Linked DNA regions of Xenopus tropicalis. The protein of the gene in region 2 purifies or fractionates together with the protein of the main gene of each other region. This does not show direct contact. Links are inferred from orthologs where the notes say so. Each region holds a gene or a part of one and is shown on either strand. Other genes may lie near its edges.

Region 1 (3,370 bases), on a different chromosome or scaffold from region 2:
AAGACTGATATATGAATAGGAGAGGGACTGAACAGAACAATAAGCAATATAAAGTAACAATGACAATAAAACTGGAGCCTCACAGAGCAATAGTTTTGTTTGCCGGGGTCAGTGACCCCCATTTGAGTTAGAAGAAAAAGGCAAATAATTAAAAACTATGAAAAATAAAAATGAGGACCAATTGAAAAGTTGCTTAGAAATGGGCATTCTATAACATAACCACCCCTTTAACTTCTGCTTGTATAATTAACCTGTAATTAAAAGCAAAATGATATTTCCTTGTTCCATTACCTGCAGGACACGGACAACTTCAGCCATCATGGGACCAAGGCAGCGGGTAGTGTAGAATCCTGGCCCGTCCTATTAAGCCATAAAAAAAATTAACCATAATCCTTACGTCTTTCTCGAAGCAAAAATACCCAATAAACAGCTTAGTTAGATCCATATAGGAAAATAAAATTAAACAAATCCAGGTAACCACGGGCACAGAGGGGCTCCCTATGGTTCCCATGACAAACCCAGCACCGACCAATCCCGGGACTCGTGTACTTACCTTTACCACAATGATCACCTTGCCCTGCTTGAGGCCGACAGCGACAGCGGCAGCGGTGGTGTCCTTAGAGGTTTTGTCAGTAGTGATTATTTCCAGCAGCTGCATCTTATCCACAGGGGAGAAATAGTGCATCCCGATCACCTACACAGATATAATATATAAGGTCTGGGCACAGCTCTGTGGTTACACACTCTGCTCTCTCTGCGGATCAAATCTTCATCATTAAACCAGCACCTAAAGGGTAAAGGCTTTGCCGCTGTCACAGAAGCAGAAACCCCAGTAATGAAATGATTGGATATCCGCCTTGTACTCACTTTTTCTGGCCTTTTGCTGGCGGCTGCTATCTGAGAGATGGGGAGGGCCGACGTGTTGCTGGCAAATATACAGTGTGGGGGGACAACCTGCGGAAAGCAAGAGACATGGTTTTACAGATCTAGGGGGAGATTAGATATATACATATATTGCATAATCACACTAGGCTCAGACTATAACTTGTCACACACACAGTAGAAATATCCAGCCTACTGATCCTCTGGGCACGGGGCATCCAGCCAAGCACTGGGCGTTCCCATTGTGCAACCCCACAGAAGCTGCCTGCTCTCGAATGAAAGTGCTGCCAGCTAGCACACCCCATACATACATGAGAAAGGCCTCTATCTAACAAGTTATGGCAGAGGCTGCACAGGATCTGATTGCTCAGCACGTACAGTACCTGTACTTGATCCCAATTAATTACCCCTTATTGGGGGCAGAACAGCCCTATTGGGTTTATTTAATGGTTAAATGATTCCCTTTTCTCTGTAATAATAAAACAGTACCTGTACTTGATCCCAACTAAGATATAATTACCCCTTATTGGGGGCAGAACAGCCCTATTGGGTTTATTTAATGGTTAAATGATTCCCTTTTCTCTGTAATAATAAAACAGTACCTGTACTTGATCCCAACTAAGATATAATTACCCCTTATTGGGGGCAGAACAGCCCTATTGGGTTTATTTAATGGTTAAATGATTCCCTTTTCTCTGTAATAATAAAACAGTACCTGTACTTGATCCCAACTAAGATATAATTACCCCTTATTGGGGGCAGAACAGCCCTATTGGGTTTATTTAATGGTTAAATGATTCCCTTTTCTCTGTAATAATAAAACAGTACCTGTACTTGATCCCAACTAAGATATAATTACCCCTTATTGGGGGCAGAACAGCCCTATTACACACAGCAATGTGTACAGACCCCTATGAAACTACCGATACTCACAGCTTCCACCTCCTGTAGAACTTTGTGTTTAATGCGGATATCCTCAAACACGGCCTCGATCACCATGTCGGCTGTCTCGAAACCCTTATAATCCAGCTGCCCCGTCAGGTTGCTGACAATGCTGTCTCTCTCAAACGAAGTCAGACTCTTCTTCTTCACCTTGTCATTAAGCCTGCGGCAAATAATGGGGTATTTTTATTTTAAAAGCATAATCATCAAACCAATCAATTTTATCATGACGCCTGCTAGTTCTTCACAGATACCCCCAGGTCTTGGAATTACTATTGGATAGTAATTCCAACATACAATTAAACATATAACACTTACCCTTTGTAGACTTGTTGTTGCCCTCTTCCTAAGCCTTCCACTGTCGTGTCCTTCAGAATGGTCTTTAACCCTTTATCCACAGAGACCTGAGCAATGCCAGCTCCCATAAGGCCAGCCCCAAGTATAGCCAATTTCCTGAGGAGATTGCAAGACATAAAACATTACATTACAATAGAGGTGTCTCAGCCATGACATTAGCCAGTATAGGTCCAAAAACTCTTTTGAATGACCCCCTTTTATACTAAATACACATCTAATCGTGCCAAGGGCCGTTATCGTCAGCACTTACTGTACTGGTCTTTCTGGAGTGCCAAACTTATTCTTCTTACAAATAACCTGTCCGTGGTACAGCCCGATTAGTGCTTTGGACTCTGGGGTCGTTCCCAGCTCCCCGAATTTCTGCAGGATTGACAAGAGAATGTTTATGTGAAACAAAGGAAATTCTAATTCAGATTCCAAACTATCGGAAATGACGGAAACAGAATATATTAGCTGGATGCATGTGAGGTAGTGGCTGCCGACACACGGCTGCTTCCTACATACCTGTGCCTCGGCCAGATAGCCAGCCTCCTGTCCCTGGTCCAGCCCAGTCCTTACCACCTGGGAGAAAAAGAAAATGGAAAAGACAATGGAAACGTGAGCAACAGAAAAAGTGGATTGACTGAAAGCAAACGCAAAAGTCTTGGGAAGAACTTTGGGAGAACATGGCTAGGAATGCTGTATTTTATATACACCTGCAGAATAACTCAACTAACTCATGAACAGTCAATGTGTACAATACCTCAATAATCTTCAAGGGGGCAGGGTAAAGACCCTTTGTCTGTTTATTCACTTTTTTCTCCACTGTTTTGTAGATTTGTTGCCGGACAAACGGCACGGACATGACATAGTCTGTGACCTCTGAAACAAAAGAGAAAAACATTTTTGCACCATTAGAGCCGTGTTTGGCGCACTAAGCGTACTGGATGGGTTCTGGCTGAAGGACAAGTAGTACTTCCCATTCTACCCCCATACAGCCCACGATAAGAGCTGGAGTAAAGGTGTCCATATCACAGGATATAAAGCAGAAAGTAAACTTTAGTAGTTGGGAACTAAAGGCGTTATATAGTAACATGACCGTAGCCTGCTTGTGTATTCCTGACGCTGTGCTATATCAGTCAAATCTAACTGCTGTGTGTTTGCGAAGGATTACTGGCCCAGGGCAGACTATGCCTAAAGGTGGGCACCG
Region 2 (3,518 bases):
CCTACATGGGACTAAAAGGTCAAAATCAACCCAGAAGTGAGGCCATAGCCATATTGAAAGATTAAATCACACATACATCACATAATGTTGAACATGACGCTTACTTGCTATTTAGGATTTGCTGTTTCCTGATGTCTACTGCTGGCCACACATCAAACAAAAAGGTGCTTGACTGCACTCTGATTCCTTGCAGTCATTCTCTGTGGGTCTTCCTTTAATATCAATGTTGCTAACATAACCCTTACTGATGCTAACTACTTCAGACTTCCTGGCCTTTTGTTCTCTGGGTTTTTCATTAATGAGGTGATAAATATGTGCAAACTCCATGTGTACCATTATGGAAAATATGGCAGTAGTGCTGTTACATTAGTGAGTCATATCATAATTTAAAACAAATATTTGTCATAAATCAATGCATAAAGCACACAAAATTATATGAGGATAGTGAAGTTTTGCTAATAATTAACAAGAAGAAGGAAAGACCATTCATGCCATACATGAAAATATTAACTAGAAAGTGGCTTGATCAATATACAATATAAAAGCTTCTTTCAGGCAATATAAAGATTGTAAATAATTTGCCGCATAAAACCAAGATGCTATGTAAATATCTTATTTTCCTAATTTGTAAAGGTCTGTTCACATTAAAGACTTTGGTCCTTCATCCTAACTGTAGTGTGGCCTGGATGCCAGTGAAGAATACTGCTACTGAAGGTAGACTGGAGTCTGCAGTATATATAAGCCATAATACATAAAACAATAATCACCAAATCCTTCACTAACATTTCTACCAACATCTCACACTTCAGTCCAGTCTTATAGCTCTGGTTCCATGGGTAGTGTTTGGGGACTTTCTGAGAGCAAGTTTCCTTCAACTGAAAGGGAAGTGCACTGCACCTGTACCAGAACTATATAGATCAAAATATATAGATCAATATATATATCTGCCTCTTATGGGATTATCCATACTCCAAATACACTGCATGAGAAGAGGGTGTTCTATTAATCATAAAATAACTATGTAATTGCAGGAAAAAAGATGTTAACCAAAATGGTTAAACATCCCACTGAAAGTCTGAAAGGCTACACTAGAACTGCCCTCTGTTTAGTAGATCACAAAAAACATTTAGGAATACCAGCTTAGAGGTTTTCTGTATGAAAGTATTTTCTTCTCTTCATGTATGCTCTAGTAACTGAGAAGTGGTAATAATTACACTGAATTTTGTACAGGTTACTGATCTCCTTTTTGGCCAGAAGGTTTGAGTGAGCATCCTTCCGTGGATCGACTTTACGAACAAAGAGTGATCGCAACCAGCTGTCTTCTCTGGCTTTCTGACTCGATGATGCAAGACCCCTGTAATAACAATATATCAGTAAGAGCTGGGAAGCAAGATTTAAAATGGACATGGCAAAAGGACCAAGTTATACAGCTCTTGCAGCACGTTGAGTTTATATTACTATATACAATATAATACACCTGGCCTAAGTCTATCTCCCCACACTATAACTATATAAACATAAATGCTTTACAATCTTCAACATTCTCAATTCTTGCTTAGTAGGGATAAAGTACAAGGTACTGTTGTATTATTACAGAGAAAAGGGAATTTAAAAAAAAAATGTAATTATTTGTTTAAAATAGAGTCTGAGGGAGATTCCTGTAATTTGTAATTTATTACCCTTTATGGGGTGACATTTCCCTTATGAAAAATGGACTGAAGGCGAATTTAACTGCATCTTTAAATAGCTCTAGGGAATGTGTCTGTAGTAACAGGTGACCGGCACATGCAGAATGTCCTTCAAACTGTGTGCCAGAGACTATTCTAACCAGAGCGACAGAAAAACAGCATAGAAGAATCTACCATTCTCTTCAGTGATGTCTGCAACCTTAGTAAAAGAAAGCCATAAAAGGACTAAATTATTATATAAGCTCCCTTTGCCTGCAGTAAACAATCTTGAGCACAGTGTAATGTTTTTCAATATATTTTCACTCCACATGATTTACAACTTGTATAGAGTTTGTTGCACCATAAGTCTTGTTTTCATGGATTATTGCTGGAGTACAGGATGGAGCACTTTAGAGATAATACATTGTTATATAACTGAGACACAATAACCCAGAAAAACACAGAAATGTGGCTATTTGCCACCCCTGGTAAAATGCTGTCTGAGGCAATGTTCTCTTAAAAATTGTATGGACTACCAGGCATTTTGAATTCCATGGTTGCCACTATACTACCCGATCACTGTTTTTCTTTTTCTTTTGTGCTTTTAGCTATCAGACATCGTATCTTATGATTTCTCATAACCAAAAGTAAGACTAGGTCAGTTTGACTTCTATTTATATGAGAAGCACGCTCATTTCTTCTTTTTTGCTTGTTCTTAGCATTACCTTCTTACTGCTTCACAATTGCACATAACAGTTTTTACCTTAAATACAATGGGATGTTTTTTCCTATTGCAAAACCTTCTGGCAGCAGGCAAGGCTGGCTTATAACTTCTAATCATTATAGAAGTAATCTCTATAAACCCACTATTAGGCTATAGGCCTACACGACTATTCTACTCGCAAGGCCTTGGCATACTGCCCAAGCTAAATGTTTCTTCATTCCCCAGTAAGGATGTCTATGTAGCACAATATTGTCACTGCTGTAGTATATAGTGATGGAGAACCTGTTATCTTTTTAACATCTGAACATGATAGTAAAATTGCTGTACTTCTACCCCCATATTTGTTCATCCTGAACAAATGCTTGTCATGCAGTTGCATTGTTTTCTCAATTTAACACCAAATTTATGGGCTGCAGTGAAAGCACCTGAAAAAGTTATGGGTGGCATTACCTTGACCCTAATTTTCTTTACTATTAAACTTTATATTTCTGTGGTTTAATTATGCTATTTGGGCAGGGTCGGACTGGAGGGTGCAGGGCCCACCGGGGCCCCTGCCCCAGGGGCCCTCCAGGTGCCCCCGCCGGCCGTGTCCCTTAACCCCCCCCAGGGGTCCCCACCCCACGTCCACCCTGAGCGTGCATACATTTAACGTGTCAGGGGAGGAACAGTCGGGCAGGGGAAGTGCCAGCAAGGGTCGGGTCTGGGCCACCGGGGCCCACCAGGTTTTTTCCAGGTGTCCCAGCAGCCCAGTTCGACCCTGTATTTAGGGCACTTTCAAGCTGTAGTTTAAAGTGACCTATAACACAAATCTGGGGAAATATTAAAAGTCTTGTTTACTAGCTTAGATGCTATTTTGCACAACTGGATTTGCCAACAGCAACTAAGCAGGTCTTTCCTTTTTATTTTTTTAACTTGTAACAGACCTCATTTTAACCCCCCCAGGGGCCCCCACCCCACGTCCACCCTGAGCGTGCATACATTTAACGTGTCAGGGGAGGAACAGTCGGGCAGGGGAAGTGCCAGCAAGGGTCGGGTCGGGTCTGGGCCATCGGGGCCCACCAGGTTTTTTCCCGGTGTCCCAACGGCCCAGTTCGACCCTGTATTTAGGGCACTTTCAAGCTGTAGTT

What was found. Proteins that work in one complex are often made in the same cells at the same time.
Region 1: the proteins of nipsnap2 (region 2) and hadha purify together in Homo sapiens (affinity purification with mass spectrometry; 3 studies listed by BioGRID and IntAct, with this or other methods). This does not show direct contact. The link is inferred for Xenopus tropicalis from reciprocal best matches to the Homo sapiens genes NIPSNAP2 and HADHA.

The regions. Positions count from the first base shown.
Region 1 is NC_030681.2:154,386,887-154,390,256, forward strand, and holds part of hadha (trifunctional enzyme subunit alpha, mitochondrial), read right to left. Parts: intron 3,043-3,370; coding exon 2,924-3,042; intron 2,743-2,923; coding exon 2,686-2,742; intron 2,542-2,685; coding exon 2,432-2,541; intron 2,278-2,431; coding exon 2,143-2,277; intron 1,988-2,142; coding exon 1,816-1,987; intron 955-1,815; coding exon 868-954; intron 695-867; coding exon 554-694; intron 361-553; coding exon 292-360; intron 1-291. UniProt on the Homo sapiens protein: Mitochondrial trifunctional enzyme catalyzes the last three of the four reactions of the mitochondrial beta-oxidation pathway.
Region 2 is NC_030678.2:98,148,818-98,152,335, forward strand, and holds part of nipsnap2 (protein NipSnap homolog 2), read right to left. Parts: intron 1,355-3,518; coding exon 1,215-1,354; intron 1-1,214. UniProt on the Homo sapiens protein: Protein involved in mitophagy by facilitating recruitment of the autophagy machinery required for clearance of damaged mitochondria.